3 linked regions of the Bombyx mori genome follow. Each later gene encodes a partner of the first gene's protein in a complex. Links are inferred from orthologs where the notes say so. Each region holds a gene or a part of one and is shown in the gene's direction. Other genes may lie near its edges.

The links. Proteins that work in one complex are often made in the same cells at the same time.
Region 2: histone deacetylase HDAC1 (region 1) and Myb share a complex: the UniProt entries of both Drosophila melanogaster proteins name them as parts of the DREAM complex. The link is inferred for Bombyx mori from reciprocal best matches to the Drosophila melanogaster genes HDAC1 and Myb.
Region 3: histone deacetylase HDAC1 (region 1) and transcription factor Dp-1 share a complex: the UniProt entries of both Drosophila melanogaster proteins name them as parts of the DREAM complex. The link is inferred for Bombyx mori from reciprocal best matches to the Drosophila melanogaster genes HDAC1 and Dp.

What each region holds. Positions count from the first base shown.
Region 1 is NC_085117.1:13,610,035-13,616,489, reverse strand, and holds the start of histone deacetylase HDAC1, read left to right. Parts: upstream 1-2,396; 5' UTR 2,397-2,611; coding exon 2,612-2,660; intron 2,661-3,027; coding exon 3,028-3,140; intron 3,141-3,215; coding exon 3,216-3,333; intron 3,334-4,127; coding exon 4,128-4,228; intron 4,229-4,953; coding exon 4,954-5,197; intron 5,198-5,566; coding exon 5,567-5,743; intron 5,744-5,932; coding exon 5,933-6,035; intron 6,036-6,216; coding exon 6,217-6,451; intron 6,452-6,455. UniProt on the Drosophila melanogaster protein: Catalyzes the deacetylation of lysine residues on the N-terminal part of the core histones (H2A, H2B, H3 and H4).
Region 2 is NC_085134.1:9,634,064-9,640,630, reverse strand, and holds the start of Myb (Myb transcription factor), read left to right. Parts: upstream 1-2,333; coding exon 2,334-2,483; intron 2,484-4,148; coding exon 4,149-4,298; intron 4,299-6,567. UniProt on the Drosophila melanogaster protein: DNA-binding protein that specifically recognizes the sequence 5'-YAAC[GT]G-3'. Component of the DREAM complex, a multiprotein complex that can both act as a transcription activator or repressor depending on the context.
Region 3 is NC_085110.1:8,924,585-8,931,005, forward strand, and holds the start of transcription factor Dp-1, read left to right. Parts: upstream 1-2,187; 5' UTR 2,188-2,546; coding exon 2,547-2,595; intron 2,596-2,878; coding exon 2,879-3,006; intron 3,007-3,564; coding exon 3,565-3,616; intron 3,617-6,421. UniProt on the Drosophila melanogaster protein: Component of the DREAM complex, a multiprotein complex that can both act as a transcription activator or repressor depending on the context. In follicle cells, the complex plays a central role in the site-specific DNA replication at the chorion loci.

The sequences.
Region 1 (6,455 bases):
GAATGGAACTTGTTGTTTTAGTGTAGGGAAAAATCACAGTTTCGAAGCGAATGAACGGTCTAAGTTCGAATAATCGTGTCATCCAATAAATAATTATTACATGAATTAGTTCAGGGACAGCTAATATACAGGGTGTCCCAAAAATAATGGACAATCCTGAAACACCTCATAGTAGAGCAAATGGGGACTGAAAAAAAAAATTTTTTTTAGTTAGTCCCCAAATTAAAAATAAAGAAAAAAATACCAAATTAAGTTCAGATTAGCTTTTATAAAAAATTACACTGGCTACTCAAACGATTTCCTGCATATTTCTTAGTATAGTCCATGTAGAATATTATAACACCAAAAGCCTGTAGATTCCATTTATTTGTAGCTGTTGTATATTCCAGAAACGCACAGCAGTATGGAAAATATAAATTTCTTTTTTAAATAGTAATTTGGGTACTACCTGAGAATTTGTTATTTTATTTTTTATTTTGTGTTCCCAATAGGTTTTTCAGGATTATCCATTCTTTCTGGGACACCCTGTATACATGAGTTAGTTCGGTAAAACCAAAAGGCTCTTTAGTAACCAAATAAAAAATATACAAACTACAAAACAAATTAAAAAAATACATTTTGTAGTCAAGCTTCATTGGTAAGCACAGCTATTTGTATACTTCTTCTAAATTCTTTTCAATGCCATATTTTATTTTTCCGAATGTAAATGATTTACCTGGAATTTAAATTATTTACGAATCAATAATCTACAAGAAAATATTGCATTAACCTACTACTACTAATCATCTCTAATAAATGAAGTTCGAATTTAAAGTCCATATGTTGAAATAAATTTGATCGTCCTGTTTATCTTGACTTGGGTAAAGCAATGAAATAAATTATAGGAGAACTTTATATCAAAATGAGTAAAAATAGTAAAATGGGTATCGAGATATATTCAATTTCGAAATCACAATAGTATTTCGATTTTAAATAGCTACACATCCTTAAGTTGAATTGAAGAATGAAAATTTTTAAGGTACAAATTCCTGAAACCTTTGCTACAAGTTCACGTGAACTAATTTCAGTGTTACAATATTAATATGATTTCTAGTTCCTAAGTTTCTTCTACCTTCCAAGGTGAATTCTACCATTTCCTTGGACATAATTAGGAATGTACGTAAGGAGTATAAAATTACGCACTTGCCGTAAACTGCAGCTTCTTCAATCTTTCAATTCCCAAAGATACATTTTGTTACAATTTTATTTAAAACTAGCTGACCTGGCAGACTTCGTAGTACCTCAATCGATCAATGAAAGAAAAAAGAAATTCACCCGACCGGGGACACATCAAAGGAAAAACAAAATTGTTATTTTTATTTAATTCCGAGCATTTTCATATTTATCTACCTTTTAAACCTTCTCTGGTCTTCCACAAATAATTCAAGACCAAAATTAGTCAAATCGGTTCAGCCGTTCTCGAGTTTTAGCGAGACTAAGTTAGAACAACAATTCATTTTTATATATATAGATAAATGAATTGCTAAAAAAATGAATATATATATATATATAAAGATTCAGCTGTGGTAGTTTTTTAGAATATCGTATCCTTTATGTTGACCGTGTATTTCTAATAACATAAGAGGCAACGTGCGGAATTCTACGAATGGTTCTATTAAATTTTATATAAAAAATGCAGTAGGTAAGTTTTGTTGTGTATTGTGGTGACCACACACCATCAAGTAGACCGTATGGTTGTCAGCATAAGTATATTGCCAATAAATTCAATGATGATGATGATGATGATGATATGAAAATTTTCCCTCAGTATAGACTTTTCCACTTGGAACTTGAACTTGCTACCTTGAACAATATAGATAAATATACTTGAGACCTTAGAAAGGTGGGTGGCGCATTTACGTTGTAGATGTCTATGGGCTCCAGTAACCACTTAAGACCAAGTGGGTTGTGAGCTCGTCCACCCATCTAAGCAATAAAAAAAATGCTACTAACAATAAAAATCTATTAATATTACCATCTATTTTTTTCCCCTGCCTATTCCCTGGGAGCCAAATAGAGAGACACACAATTGAAATTTAATCAAAGAACCATTTTTCTAACAGAATTTTATAACCTTGTATTTTAAAAGTGTTTGCTCTTCTCTTAAAAAAATAAGATAATGAGGGATATTCCGTGCCTGAACTAGGTAAACATTTCGCGGAAGAGCCGCAGTTGAGGAGCTAAAGAGCAGCATGCGAGCCGCAAGCCGATCGCTGGCCTAAGGGGCTGTTCTAGCTGCCAAGTAATTCATGCTTATGATTGTAATGCTACTACCTACTGTGAACTGTGGCTTCACTTGATTTCTATATTTAATCTACTAAAAATCATTCAATTTAATCAATTCATTCATTCGTTCATTGAATATCTGTAACTTTTAGGTCAGTCAACTTCACTGTAATGAAATTGTCGTACTCTGAAGTTGCATTTTGTTCATCTTTCAATTATTTTATGAAGTTTTTTTGTGTGGATTGTCAAATTAAAGCACAGCGGTGTGGTTTTTATTTCTCTTTAACATTTTTAAGTATATTGTAATAATTTTATTAAAAAGTAACCGTTGAAGAAATAATTAAAAATGTCTATGCAACCGCACAGTAAGAAAAGAGTGTGTTACTATTATGACAGTAAGTAAAATAAAGTTTTACCCGCCACGGATCTCCATTACATCGCTAGTAACTTAAGAATTAGTTTTTGTATTATAAATAATTAATATGCGTAGTATTCATATTTTAAATACAAATTTCCACACGGCCTAGCTCTTTTAAGAACTTCAGAGATTTTAAAGCTTGTCTTAGGATTTTTATGACATTGTTAACTCAGTTCATTGTTTCATTTTACGACGTCTGTACAGCGTTCCGCGTTCCTATTGGGTACACGGACTTGCTCGTATTACGATGTACGAGGTACAGACGGCTAAATATGAAGCCGTAAAATGATTTAAGTAACATGTTAATAAAAAGTTGAAAATAATGCGTGTTATTTTTATTAAAGGCGATATTGGAAACTACTATTACGGACAAGGGCATCCAATGAAACCTCACCGCATACGTATGACCCACAATTTACTCCTCAACTATGGACTCTATCGAAAAATGGAGATTTATGTGAGTACTGAAATTACCTTTTAAGTGTAAGTTCTTCAATGATTTGAGATTTTATAATTATATATTTTTAAACAGAGGCCTCACAAAGCCACAGCTGATGAAATGACAAAATTCCATTCAGATGATTACATTAGATTCCTGCGTTCTATTCGACCTGACAATGTTTCTGAGTACAACAAACAAATGCAGAGATGTAAGTTATTACTAATTATTATCAATATTATTTAAAAAAAGTATTAATTATTCATAAATGCTTTAATGAAAATGTATTACCCTTGAAGACTTACCTGTTAAAGCTAATATAACAGTAGAGTTACTTATTTAGTGTGTTATTTTATATTAAACTATATTTTTTCAGTGTATAATATTATAATAGATTTGTCCCACAGTTTCAACTATGTTCAGCTTACAATAATGTGAATCTACTACAGTGGAATCTTACTATATTCATAATTTGTATAAAAAGATGATGAAAATAATAGATTGAATACAGCATATTTTGTGTAAAATTGTGGAAAATTCCTTTGATTCACTGCTATGACACTGAAAAAAATTCCTAAATTCAAATCTTTGACTATACCACAGCATCTAGTTGTGTCAGTCAATTGTCACACTGCTTGATAAGTATAGATATAACATACCAAAATTATAAAGAAAAAAAACTACTTTCCTGTATGAGCACTCTCCTTGTCTGCAGCCTGTTTAGTTGAAACCAATGTATCTGCTGTTTATTGCAGGAAGAAAACCTTTATAATGTACATATTTATTTAAAGAGTATGGTGAAAATGGTGTACAATCCTATTGGTTTTTTGTTAAAGTTCCTATAGTTCAAAGCATCAACCAAATTATTTTTGACCTATCCCTCAATCTACTGATGGGTAATATCCTATAAACTACATACCTTTATTAGTGCCTGATCACATTCAGGGATGATATGGAAAATATTCAACTTATTGAATGTGACTAATTTTAATATACATTTTGCAGTTAATGTAGGTGAAGATTGTCCTGTTTTTGATGGCCTGTATGAATTTTGTCAGTTGTCTGCTGGGGGTTCAGTTGCAGCAGCTGTAAAACTGAATAAGCAGGTAATTAGTCTTATTTTTTTATTTATTTTATTTTGTTAAAACAAGTTTTTCAGTTTAATTAGTGGCGATGAAAACTGTAATTTATTTAAAAAATCAGAAATAATATAACAGCAATTGTATACATGACATTAAACAATAAAAGTAGTTTTAATTACATCCTCTACTTACATATGCCAATGAGAAAGTATTATTTTCATTTGTTAAAATTATTATAATTTTACCTTTTTAGTGTTTTAACTTTAAAATGGTTAAAGACAGATGAGCCCCAACCTGATATTAACTGATACTGTGTCAGAGATGAATAGAACACTTAAATTGTGTTTATATTGATTTTAAAACAATAAAACAATAGATTTTTCTTATCTTGTGAGATTTCTAATTTGATTCTGCAAGTTTTCTTAATTTTATAATTATATAGTTATATAGGTTTCATTTATAGTTATTTATAACTATAAAATTAAAACATGTTTGTACTGATTTTATTATTGTTATAATTTTTTTTTTCCTTACACTATAAGTTAGATTAGTTTTCGTTATCGTGTTGTTTTGTCGTAATTGTAAGGAACGTTGATATACAAATTCAGCACTTTATAGTTTTGTCGTGCGCACATAACTTATGTTGCAAGCCAGATTTTGTTTTTTTTTTATTTGTGTTTTTTATGTATCTTTAGCTTGTGATGTGTATTGTGAGCCTAATAAAAAATAAAAAAAATAAATTGTTTTAGGCCTCAGAAATATGCATAAACTGGGGTGGTGGCCTCCATCATGCAAAGAAGTCTGAAGCGTCAGGTTTCTGTTATGTTAATGACATTGTTCTTGGCATATTGGAGTTGCTGAAATACCATCAAAGAGTACTATATATTGACATAGATGTGCATCATGGTGATGGTGTTGAAGAAGCTTTCTACACCACGGACAGAGTAATGACCGTTTCCTTTCATAAATATGGAGAATATTTTCCTGGAACAGGTGATTACATTACTTATTTCTATTTAAACTTGTTCAAAACATTAAAGTTTATTTGAGTAATATTGAATGATTAGCACAAAGATATTTGTACCTTTTTATCACATGAAACTGAGAAAGATAAGTAATTGCAGCACTGCATTTGTTACCTTGTACATACAGCGCTGACTGTACACTCTACATCTAAAAGGTGTGTACACAATTTTACAATGATTGTACATTTTTCTGATCTAACAAAAGAGTAATATGACTCATTTAAAAACTGCTACTGGGAGAAAAAAATTAAATTATCTCGAAGATATCTCATCTCATCTTGGGGTTTTCCTATAAAGATTTTATATATGGCAATAATTGATTATCATAATATTACAGGTGATTTGCGGGACATTGGTGCTGGTAAAGGCAAATACTATGCTGTAAATATACCCCTTCGTGATGGAATGGATGATGAGTCATATGAGTCTATCTTTGTTCCCATTATATCTAAAGTTATGGAGACATTCCAACCAAGTGCTGTAGTACTACAGTGTGGTGCTGATTCTCTGACAGGTAACTATAATAACTCTAACTTTATAACTCTTGTGTCACTTTTTATTTGTCCAAGCTATTTGCTTAATCTAATTTTTTATGAAATTGAATTGATTCTGAATGTCGTAAAATCACTCATACCAATTAATAACTAAATAATAAAAATTTAGTTAATTACTGTAACTAAAATACCTATTTTTATTATACAAGGTGACAGATTGGGTTGTTTCAACTTGACTGTTCGAGGTCATGGACGCTGTGTAGAACTTGTCAAGAGGTTTGGACTTCCATTCTTACTAGTCGGCGGAGGCGGGTAAGTTGTTTTAAATATAAGACTATGTTTCACTTTTAGATAGAAACTGAATCATTATCTTTACTACTTAAGATATTTAAATTACTAGGTCAAAATAATGTAATCTCTTAATTTTTTCACAACAACTAGACTATTTTCTTTAACCATCTTTTCATTGCTTCATGTGTAATAAATTTCACAGATATACCATACGTAATGTATCTCGCTGTTGGACTTACGAGACATCTGTTGCACTTGGTGTGGAAATAGCCAATGAACTACCATATAATGACTACTTTGAGTACTTTGGGCCCGATTTCAAACTACACATATCACCAAGTAACATGTCCAATCAAAACACACCCGAATATCTGGAAAAGATAAAAAATAGACTGTTCGAGAATCTCAGAATGCTCCCACATGCGCCAGGAGTACAAGTAA
Region 2 (6,567 bases), on another chromosome or scaffold:
TAGATGTCCATGGGCTCCAGTAACCACTTAACACCAGGTGGGCTGTGAGCTCGTCCACCCATCTAAGCAATAAAAATAAAAAAACATTAACGTAAAAAACTTGCCGAAAATCTTAGTGTAGGTATATTTATTATGTATTAATTCACGCTACAATAGATACTAATATAATCACTCCGGACACTTGTCTTTAATAACAGTAGTTATGGCGAAAACATTGCAAACATTACGAAGTGTCTACCGCTTATTGCTGATAAGAGCGACTAATATTTTTGATATTTATTTTATTCTATTGGCTGTTTTTTTTTTCCTGTTATATCGCCAAATTCACGTGCTATAAAAAATCTCAATTCTCTTATTGTATTATTTATGTTCTACATAAGACCACAGGCGCGGGCTGCAAATAAGCCGTTTGAATTATTCTGGTCATTTTGAGGGTTTTTATTTAATTATTTTTTTATTGCTTGGATGGTTGAACGAGCTCACAGCCCACCTGGTGTTAAGTGGTACTGGAGCCCATAGACGTCTACAACGTAAATGCGCCACCCACCTTGAGATATAAGTTCTAAGGTTTCAGTATAGTTACAACGGCTGCCCCAACCTTCAAACCGAAACTCATTAAGTACTGCTTCACGGCAGAAACAAGCAGATTGGTGTTACCTACCCGTGCGCGCGGACTCACAAGAGGTCTTACCACCAGTAAAATGTTGAAATGCACAAATAAAATCAATGTTAATTTATTTTTTTCATTGAATATTTTTTTGGAAATTGACATAGCACTTTTTGAAATTCTTTTGGCTTTGGGAATGGATAATCGTTGCTTAAGTTTTGCCTCTTGACAGATGGCTCACGGTCATGGTCGACTCAACAGTCTAATTACTTGGAGTAGACTGGTGTAGACGATTTGACCAATTGTGTTTTGTGCCCACCAGTTAAGGTAACGCATCACTGTATGTCGCTGTCAACAGTCCTTAAAGTCGTCGTGGCCTAAAGGATAAGATGTGCGGTGCATTCGTGTTGAGCGATGTATCGGTGTTCGAATCTCAGGCGGGTACCAATTTTTCTAATGAAATACGTACTCAACAAATGTTCACGATTGACTTCCACGGTGAAGGAATAACATCGTGTAATAAAAATCAAACCCGCAAAATTATAATTTGCGTAATTACTGGTGGTAGGACCTTTTGTGAGTCCACGCGGCTAGGTACCACCATCCCGCCTATTTCTGCGGTAATGCGTTTCGGATTGAAGGGGGGGCAGCCGTTGTAACTATTGTGAGACCTTAGAACTTATATCTCAAGGTGGGTGGCGCATTTACGTTGTAGATGTCTATGGGCTCCAGTAACCACTTAACACCAGGTGGGCTGTGAGCTCGTCCACCCATCTAAGCAATAAAAAAAAAACTTCGTTGGTTCACCAGTAAAGAAATACATTCTTAACTTCATATATCTATTAGATCAAAAATTGCATTTAGTAAGGCTTTATTTTTATCATTAGCTTTGTCTTCGTCTAGTTTTAAATAAGAATTGTTTTTACTTTGTAAGAAAATTTTTGAATTTATTCACACAACAATAAAAACTATATCATGCTAACCGAATCAAACGAGAAACTCACTGCTGTACCACGATATCTTTTGTCGGCAACAATCCGTCTACAAACCTGTATTTCATCTGGAATTATAATGAATCGTTTTTAGTTAGTTACAAAAATAGACCACACATCATACTTTTAAAAGCGTAATACACAGCAATAAGACACTCGTGGATGTGTCCACAAAAGTGAATATTCTTAGCTATACACATGAAGGTCCCTTAGTCCTTATCGCGATAGGCAGTGTTTCGGTAAGCTCTTTGTAAAATGATGTCTTCTGAGATAAGAAATGTTGTGTGCGTGCTTTATTCCGTATGATGCTACGTATGAAACTGGGTAGTTAAGGTTTGGTTTTGTATTTATTAGGTTAATATAGCGTGACACAAATTCTAAGTGAGAAAGGGATAACGACTAGTCCTTGAAGCGTATGTGCTAATTATTTATTAGGCCAGTCGCCAATCTGTGGAATTACTTTTATATTACACTTTACGGGTAGGTACCACCACCCCGCCTATTTCTGCCGTGAAGCTGTAATGCGTTTCGGTTTGAAGGGTGAGGCAGCCGTTGTAACAATTCTGAGATCTTAGAACTTATGCCCCAAGGTGGGTGGCGGATTTACGTTGTAGATGTCTATGGGATCCAGTAACCATTAACACCGGGTGGACTGTGAGCTCGTCCACCCATCTAAGCAATAAAAAAAAATATCGTCATTAAAATTTAATGTCACATTTGTCTATAGCTTCTGAATGTTCATTGTCAACAGAAAAAGCGGCTATGACAGCGAGACGAGCGAATATTCAGAGGACTCGACGGCGGCTTACGAGGATGTGCAGACTTCAACCAAAAGCACTGGGTCGAGGAAGAATATCAACAGGGGAAGGTGGAGTAAAGAGGAGGTAATGCTTAGAAATGTTCCAACGCAAAACTCAAATGTCCGTAAACGTCTTGTATCTAATAATAGAATGAAATGGCTTACGTTCTTGAACTTGAAATTCTTGCGTTAATGTTGGGGCTATGACCCAAATATAATTTGGAGGAATGATTTTTCGCGTTTTTGTTGCCCAACAGTCGTGGTGGTACTTCTTGGATACGGCGCGATTCGGTATTAGGCTTGGCTTTGGTTTTACCAAGCGGTTCATCAGTCCCTTGGAATCGATAACGGAACGCTAGGCTCTAGCAAATAGCATCACTTGGTCTGTTCAAATGTGGCCCAGTAAAGGAGATGAGAAGTTACAATAAATCTACAAAGCCTCATGGTTTTTAGAGTTTAAAGACGTCACAGGGTTAAAGCTTTCACATTCAGACACGAGATAAGATCCTCAATTGTAATGAATAACGGTTATCCCGTACTTAAAACTGCATCGAATGACTGCTTCAAATCAATCTATCTATCTATATGTATAAAAATGAATTGCTGTTCGTTAGTCTCGCTAAAACTCGAGAACGGCTGGACCGATTTGGCTAATTTTGGTCCTGAATTATTTGTGGAAGTCCAGAGAAGGTTTTAAAAGGTAGATAAATTTGAAAATGCTCGGAATTAAATAAAAATAACAATTTTGTTTTTCCTTTGATGTCTTCCCCGTCGGACGGATTCCTTTTGTTTGTTGTAAGTTTATTCTATATAAAAGTTTAGATCTTTTATTTATCGATTGAGACACTAAGAAGCTTCCCGGGTCGGCTAGTACCTACCCTTATAAATTACTTACACAATCTTATAAATGCTTGTTCATTTGAAATCATATGTTTATGCAAAACAATAACCTTTGCAGTCTGAAAACGGCTAATTTGAATTCCGAAAAACGAGTTTTACATAATACATCTCTGCACATAGGCTAGTTTGTTGTAATTTTTTTTCAAATGTAATGAGAGTCATTGAAACCAACATTTTCCACGTGCATTATCGCGTATTGAATAACCGGTTATGAAGTACAATGAAGGAACTACCTTACATAATTCCAGTCCAGTAAGAATTCGCAATCGCTGCGGACTAATTTTGTGTCGTAATTTTACAAAGGAATTCATCTCATGGGTTTTCTTTTATTGTTGACGAAAAAGTCTAGTTTCCGAACGTAAGTGGTAACTTCTGTCCAGTCACTGGGGAAATTGAGGGTCATAGATCGTTTGATGAGCTCACGATCCATCCGATGTGAAGGATCGAGCTTATGGGCACCATAGTACAATGTACACCCATGTTAACATGTTCTTCAAACTGGAACACATGATTGGTTTGCGGTAGAAATTGGCATAAGATAGGCGCAACTCAGCATAGTAACTAGGGAGCTCAGGTGTTAAGTCGGTAGTGTGGATTAAACAGACACAGCCCACTGAGTTTCTCGCCTGATCTTCTCAGTGGGTCGCGTTTCCGAACCGGTGCTAGATTCTGCGAAGCACAGTTCTTGTTAGGGTTCGTGTTAGCAACATCGTCAGGTTTGAGCCCCGTGAGCTCACCTACTAGTTAAGGTTGCGCTGAAATGGTCTTTCAAGACCTTCAGCTTAGCTAGGATAAAAAAAAAGTAGTGTCGATACAGACCTGAACTTAAGAATCTTGCTTTCTTTTTCAGGACAAGAAACTAAAAGCATATGTTAGGACTTACAAAGAGAATTGGGAGCGCATAGCGGCCGAGTTTCCTGACCGTTCCGACGTTCAGTGCCTTCAAAGATGGACGAAAGTCGTCAACCCTGAACTAGTCAAAGGCCCTTGGACCAAAGAGGTAAGTGTCAAGTTGTTTTGGCTTTTTTCGAAACTGCTATTAGGTATTATGGTATTGCCCACTGAGTTTCCCGCCGGATCTTCTCAGTGGGTCGCGATTCCGATCCGGTGGTAGATTCTTCGAAGTACTGCTCTTGTTATGCCTAGTGTTAGCAAATTCTCTCAGGTTGAGCCCGTGAGCTAGCTACTAGCGAATAGTTAGGGAACATATTATGGTTATATTAAACAATAATATAATAGTCTAGTCAACAAGTTCAAAAACGTGTTAAATAGACATAAAGCTCCTAAAAATATGTACGATAGCTCATTGGATGCGGAATGATGTCTACAAAAATGTTTTTTAAGGGCTTATTAGCACATAAAAAATTGCGATTGTTATAAACAAAATAAGATTTAAAAAAAAAGGAATTTGGTTTTTCCTTAATTATTTCTAAAATAATGATATTTAAGGAATTTTGAAAAAAAGATCCTGAAAGAGGAGGAAATTTCCAATAAAAAAGTCCCAACTTCCAGAATTCTATCTCTATTATTTATAAAAAAAAATTAACGCTGAAAATAGCGCTCCGCGAGGTCGTTACGCCATAGGCGCGCCGTCTAAAAAGCCGGTATATCACCTAAAATATTTTTTTTATAGTATTAAATAACAATTTAAAAATTTGAATAAATTATGGTGTAATCTAAACACTTGAACGAAAAAAACCTCGGTGAAAAAAAAATTTTATATCGATTTTTCAAAAATTTACACCATTGTTAATTAACTAACTTTTTTCCAATCTCTGTTTTTATAAATTACGGTATAAAAGTTACAATAATTCATCTATAAATTTTTCCCTTCGTGGAGCTCTTATCATTTAAGTACTTAATAAAGTTAAGCAAAAAAATTTTTTTAATCTTTATTATTTTGATAAGTAATTATAATTTTTTTTAATTAACAGAAAAATTAAATTTCTAAAAAATGTTATGAAAAATAGTTTTTTTTCGTAATATCTTAATATTGCTGTTTTTGCATCCACAATAGGTATTAATTAACATTTAAAAAAAAAATTTTACGCTGTTTGTTAAGAAATTGTTTATAAATAAATAGACTATTTTGGGATTTAAAAAAAGAAAAAAATTACCGTCTTATTCCATAGGTGAAATAAAGATTTAAAAAAAAAAAATTTCTTAAATAAATGTTTTAATTGTTTAAAATCGTTTTTTTTCATATTTCAATTGTTTAAATAATTAGTTAAGAAATTATTTTTTCTTAAAAATCATCATTGACTCTTTTCAGCGGATTAACAAAGAAATACATTTTTTTATAAATAATTTCATTGTTTATTAACTTAACAATTTGTTATAAAAAAATAATATTAATCGTTATATTTTTTTTCGAAGACTACAAAAAATTACAAAAACAACCATACATAACAAAATATAGAAAAAAAAAAATTTGTATTTTTTACAGCATTTTTAGATATTATATGATAATGAAATTACAGCCGTTACATAATTTGTCAAGCTATAAATTGTTATAACTTTTAAACTATAAGAGATACGGTAAAGGACACTCAGGTCATTTTTATAAAGGATTTATTTATCTTTAAAATAAATTCAAAATCGATCCTGTAACTATTGTTTATCAGTTGTTATACAACAAGCTCATTCAAATCGCTTATGTAAAATTCGTTGATAAATAGAGATATGTATATTATAATGAAATAGTTTCAAGTGTGTGTGTGTGTGTGTGTGTGTTCAGAAGTTAGCTTAACTACGAAATCGTTTTTCTGGTATATGTGATTATTTAAAGCGGATTGAAAAGTAAAAGTGAAACGTTAAGATAAAAAGTATTTGTTTTATTATATCCGATTATTATATTTATTATATTAGTTCCGGTGACAACAACAAAATAGTAGTTCGTTCGATCCCTAAAAACCCGGTAAAACATTCCATACGTCGGAAACAATAAAATTAAAATAATGAAACACGAGATTGAAAAAAGTAAAAAGTAGTTTAATGTTAAGTCTGTGATTCTTTCGAAATCCAAATAAAATACCACACGAAAAAAGAATAAATAATTGTTAAAAAAAAAACTAAAAAACACGCTTTATATAAAATTTAACTAAAAATAGAAAATAAATTTTAATAAATTTAAATTGAAAATAGTGTAACAAAAAACATACCTATATTATTGTAAAAAAAGCGTGGGGTGCATGGTTTTATTAGTTATAAATATTTTTCTGACAGATATGAGTAGAAGAATTATTATTCAATAATATCTTTAAAAGCAC
Region 3 (6,421 bases), on another chromosome or scaffold:
ATAAAATGTTGGGAGTCCTCAACAGAGCGAAGTGGTATTTCACGCCTGGGCAGATACTTGCGCTTTATAAAGCGCAGGTCCAGCCTCGCGTGGAGTACTGCTCTCACCTCTGGGCCGGGGCTCCCAAATACCAGCTACTTCCATTTGACTCCATACAGAAACGGGCTGTTCGGATGGTCGATAGTCCCACTCACGCGGATCGCTTGGAACCTCTGGGTCTACGGAGGGACTTCGGTTCTCTCTGTGTTTTATACCGTATGGTCCATGGGGAATGCTCTGAGGAATTATTCGAGATGATCCCCTCATCTCCTTTTTATCATCGCACCTCCCGCCATCGGAGCAGAGTTCATCCGTATCTGGAACCGCTGCGTTCATCGACAGTGCGTTTCCAAAGATCTTTTTTGCTTGGTACCATCCGGCTTCGGAATGAACTCCCCTCCACGGTGTTTTCCGAGCGCTATGACATGTCCTTCTTCAAACGAGGCTTGCGGAGAGTACTTAATGGTAGGCAGCGGCTTGGCTCTGCTCCTGACATTGCTACGTTCATGAGCGACGGTGACCACTTACCATCAGGTGGGCCGTATGCTCGTCTGCCTACAAAGGCAATAAAAAAATAAAAAATATAATGTGCCATGCTAACTATCTGTTTGATTTTTAATGTTAAGCGTACCAACAACCAGTAAAACGTATGATTAAATTGTTGATGGATAGCAGACAACACAAAGCCAACATGGGAAATTTCAGTCTAAAAAAATTTAATTTTAACTGTTGATTTATTTATATTTAAAAAGAAAAGTATCTCTGTTTGATCAAATCGACATGTACTAATGTTTCTCAACCTCTAAAGTTCTTATAGTCTCATATTTATTACCTGCATTGGGCATTCAACCTAAGGGGCTAACGGTATCTCAATCTATTACAATAACAGTTTGAGCTATGGTTCGATAGCTGTTGGTTTTAGGAAAAACGAGTATGTGAGTTTGAGATAGTGTTTTTTAAGAAGTATCGAGTTGATGATGTTTATTTAATAATACATCCCCGCAGACTATTGAGATTCAACCTATAATCATATTTGTAGACATTAAATAGTCATGGCGCCGCAATTCCAAGGAGTATCCCTGCAATCTTCCGAGAGTATCGGGATACTTGGGGTCAACATTTCGAGCGATGTCCAGTTTCGGAGTCATTTGGAAGGCAAAGCCAAGTTGGCGTCCAAAATGCTGGGAGTCTTCAATAGAGCGAAGCGGTACTTCATGCCTGAACAAAGGCTTTTGCTTTATAAAGCACAAGTCCGGCCTCGCGTGAAGTACTGCTCCCATCTCTGGGCCGGGGCTCCAAAATACCAGCTTCTGCCATTTGACTCCATACAGAGGATGGCCGTTCGGATTGTCGATAATCCCATTCTCACGGATCGTTTGGAACCTCTGGGTCTACGGAGGGACTTCGGTTCCCTCTGTATTTTGTACCGTATATTCCATGAGGAGTGCTCTGAGGAATTGTTCGAGATGATACTATCTGGAGCCACTGCGGTCATCCACAGTGCGTTTCCAGAGGTCTTTTTTGCTACGCACTATCCGGCTATGGAATGAGCTTCCCTCCACGATGTTTCCCCGTGCGCTATGACATGTACGTCTTCAAACGAGGCTTGTGGAGAGTATTAAGCGGTAGGCAGCGGCTTGGCTCTGCCCCTGGCATTGCTGAAGTCCATCCACTCACCATCAGGTGGGCCGTATGCTCGTCTGCCAACAAGGGCCGGAAAAAAATTATTGTAATCTCATAAATGCTTTTTTATGGTAGCTTAGTTTTTATATATACACAAGGTTCTACAATAAATACTGGAAGAACGAGTAGTGATATTGTTTCATAATCGTAAAAATATCAGAAATGATACTATACCACTAAAAAAAAAGTAAGTGACCATAACATTGTAGAAAAATAACGTAACAACGTGAAGAAACTGAATCCGAACAGACTATTATGAACAAGAAAGACATGGGGCCATGCATGAAGTTTAATAATTAAATTAACCTCATGCATGGCGCACTTCGGAAAACATTTTTAAATTCTTGCGATGGCAAGGACATTAAATGCGTACATCTACACCTAAAAACAAAATGGCGATTGAGAATTGGCGCCTTTTTGTTTTTTTTTCACATCTAGCAACTATTGAATAGTACCACGTGAACTACCTCATCCAATCAGCTGGTAAATCCAAAAATCCCGCCTCTTGCATCGTTTCCTTCTCGTCCCGCGCTGCGTTGGTGATGGTGCTTGGATTCGCGCATTTAATATACTTTAATTAAATGTTAAAAGTTTATCAATGTTACATATATTAATAGAAACTTTAAACTGTAAAAGGTTCATTTATCGGTTCAAAAATTGGCTATAGTTTTGGTTCTAACCCATATTTTTGTCGCCATTTTGACCTGTGATTTTGGTCATACGAATTGAGTAGGTATTATTTAATTTGTTTCGTCATCAACAATTGTCCTACGTTGTTCTTATGAAACATAAATGGACGTCCAAATTCAAGGAGTGTGGAGAAAATGTCCCAAACTAATAGTACAATAAATTACCTTATCCATGATGCTAACGGTTAGTAGAGGTGCTACTTTAGTTTACGTGACACTTGTTTTTCCTATCGGATTTAAGACTTTGTATTGCAAACAAAGCCTAGATCAATTGGACCAAACTCAAGACTAGTAGCTTAGCTTTAGTTATTATCTTCGACGCCTTTTATTCTGCCGAAATAAACATCATCACAGCGTTTGTTTATTACGGAGATATTTTTTGTTTCAATCAGCTGATGGCACCGACGCTTCAGTAAGTCTTTAATTTAGATTATAAATACATAAAGACTCGATGATATGTCCTGCAGGACTTCCTCAAGTGGTGAAAGTGCTGGAAACTACAAGTAAACCACTGATTGCTCAAATCGAAGCAGAACCGAAAGAGAGTCCAGTTAAAATTGTTACTGTATCACCTGTTCCGGTCAAATGTGCAAAGGTATGATTATTCGCAATTTTTTTATATATGAAACCACTATATGTTTTACATATATTATTATAAACATTATTTATTTACGCTTCATTAGACTAAACTTTTAGTTAGAGTAGTAATGTATATGTTGAATAAACTTTTAATAAACAGAACGAACGAAATGACATGAAATATAATAATAATTACTTTCCTTTGTCACTGTGGTTAACCTAAGCTTTTGGGGTTCTAATATAATTTAGATTTAGTTGGGTGAACTGAGCCTACCTATGCCCTTATGCCCTACTGTAATTTGATTTGAATTTGAAAAATATTCTACAACTAATGAGGACTCCCTAGTTCTTGTATTTTTTTATTACTAGATAGGTGGATGAGCTCATGATCCACCTGGTCTAAAATGGTTACTGGAGCTTATGGACATCTACAATGTAATTGCCTCCATCCACCACGAGACTAGTTCTAAAGTCTCAGTACTTACATCTTACATAGGTCAATAGGTACCAAACCAGAATTAGCAATTTGATTATCATTTACCATTCAGTTTTATATGAGTATACTCTTTAACAGATACCTGTTCCAGCCAGTTTTGCAAGATTTGGAATTGTTCAATACAAACAAAGTAAGTTTTCAGCATGACAGGGTTTGTTGACAGAAAGTAGAAAGTAACCAAGAATCCTATTTAATATATAACTGTATATTTTATTGCTTAGATGGCTGGATGAGCTCATGGCTCACCCGGTGTTAAGTGGTTACCGGAGACATCAACAGTCAATGCCGCCGTCAACCTTGAGACACAAGTTCTAAAATGTCAGTTTTTACAGTATAATAACATATACTCCACCCTTCAAAGTGAAATGCATCTGCTTCACAGCAGAAATAGGCATGGTGTAATAGCAAATAATTTAGCTTCTTGCATACATTTGAGACTTCAACCTCATTTCTCAATGTAATCATACATGTAATTTAGTGCTTTGCGAATTGTTAGGTACATCTACATCCAAAAAAATTTAATAAAAATAAAGTGAGCAAGTAGTAATGAATGTCAAATATATACAAATTTAGGAAGTATTTTGTTACTAAAATTTTGCACACTATATTAATCTTAGTTCTGGGTGTTTTAGTATCACTGTTTACAAGTATCAATACTTCTGCTATGGAACATAATCTAATTTTTAATACATACATACACTATAAAAAGAACATCTTGATTGACTATCCAATATTAAAATAATCCACATGATGGTGGTAATTAATGTTAGATAAGCTGATTTATGAACAAACTTATATAATTTGAATTAGTCCATCAATTCACTTCATTATACATTTCAAAATTATGGTGAGAAATTATGCCTACAATATAAACATACATATAAATCAATAAGTATCACCCCTCTTAGAGATCTGAAGTTGTAATATCAATTGTTTTATATAAGGGCTGTCCGGCCCATCAAACCAGAACTCTCGACTGCTTTGTGGCAGAAATAGCCAAAATAGTGATATCTATTTACTCAAGTGGTCTTAAGATACTTCCCACTAACAGATATTACACAATGTCTTAAGACACAATAAGATCCAAATGATTAATGGAGGTTTTGAACCTTGTCATAGCCACATCACTTGATATAAATTCATCAGGTGTCTTACGATTCCGATTTCGCAGTGGAGATTTTCCTGTTGAGTCTGTAATTATTGTCACCACTGTCTAACCTTGTTCTTAAAGGCTGTTTTGCAATAGTCAAAGATCACGTTTACTAGTCTCTATACAGTAAAAGTTTATTATTCGCGGGGTTGAAGCATAATAAAAATATGCCGCGAATACAGTAACCGTGAATAGGGAAGGGTAATTTGCGTATATGGAGGTTATAGGGGACTCTTCGCCTCGAACTCGACTGAACGACGGGGGTGCCACACCACCGAACATCCCCCGGTGTGATAGTTCCCTGCCGGAGATCTACTTTGCACAGTGTGCAGTCAGGTGGGAACTCCGACTCCTGGACGTTCATAAGTCGAGTGGGCCAGACGGCAACCCTGCAGTGGTTCTAAAAACGTGCGCCCCTGAGCTGACGCCTGCGCTAACGCGTTTGTATCGCCTCTCTTATTGCACTAACAGGGTTCCGTCTTCATGGAAGACCGCCCACATCCACCCTATCCCCAAGAAGGGTGACCGGTCGGACCCATCGAGCTATAGACCTATCGCGATAGCTTCATTGCTTTCCAAGGTGATGGAGCGAATAATAAATATACAACTCCTGAAGTATCTTGAGGATCGCCAGCTGATCAGTGACCGGCAGTACGGTTTCCGTCACGGTCGCTTAGCTGGCAATCTTCTTGTATACCTTACTCACACAGGTGGGCTGAAGCCTTGGAGAGCAAGGGTGAGGCTCTTGCTGTGAGCCTTGATATCGCAAAGGCCTTCGACATGGTCTGGCATAGGGCACTTCTGTCAAAGCTACCATCTTACGGAATCCCCGAGGGTCTGCAAGTAGATCGCTAGCTTTTTGGATGAGCGGAGCATCACGGTCGCTGTAGACGGTAACTGTTCTGATACCATGACCATTAACGCTGGCGTTCCACGTGTATATCGATGACATGCTGTCTATTGATGCCATGCATTGCTATGCGGATGACAGCACGGGGGATGCGCGATATATCGGCCATCAGAGTCTCTCGGAGCGTGGTGTAAGAGAGACAATCAAAACTTGGAAGTTGTCTGAAGTGGAGAACTCTCTGTGGCGAGTCTCCGAATGGGACAACCCGTTAAAAACACAAGTTTGCGCGTTCACTGCAAAGCAGGACCCCTTTGTCATGGCGCCGCAATTCCAAGGAGTATCCCTGCAACCTTCCGAGAGTATCGGGATACTTGGGGTCGACATTTCGAGCGATGTCCAATTTCGGAGTCATTTGGAAGGCAAAGCCTAGTTGGCGTCCAAAATGCTGGGAGTCCTCAACAGAGCGAAGCGGTACTTCACGCCTGGACAAAGGCTTTTGCTTTATAAAGCACAAGTCCGGCCTCGCGTGGAGTACTGCTCCCATCTCTGGGCCGGGGCTCCCAAATACCAGCTTCTTCCATTTGACTCCATACAGAAGAGGGCCGTTCGGATTGTCGATAATCCCATTCTCACGGATCATTTGGAACCTCTGGGTCTGCGGAGGGACTTCGGTTCCCTCTGTATGTTGTACCGTATGTTCCATGGGGAGTGCTGTGAGGAATTGTTCGAGATGATACCGTCGTCTCGTTTTAACCATTGCACCGCCCGCCTCCGGAGCAGAGTTCATCCATACTACCTGGAGCCACTGCGGTCATCCACAGTGCGTTTCCAGAGGTCTTTTTTGCCACGTACCATCCGGCTATGGAATGAGCTCCCCTCCACGGTGTTTCCCGAGCACTATGACATGTCCTTCTTCAAACGAGGCTTGTGGAGAG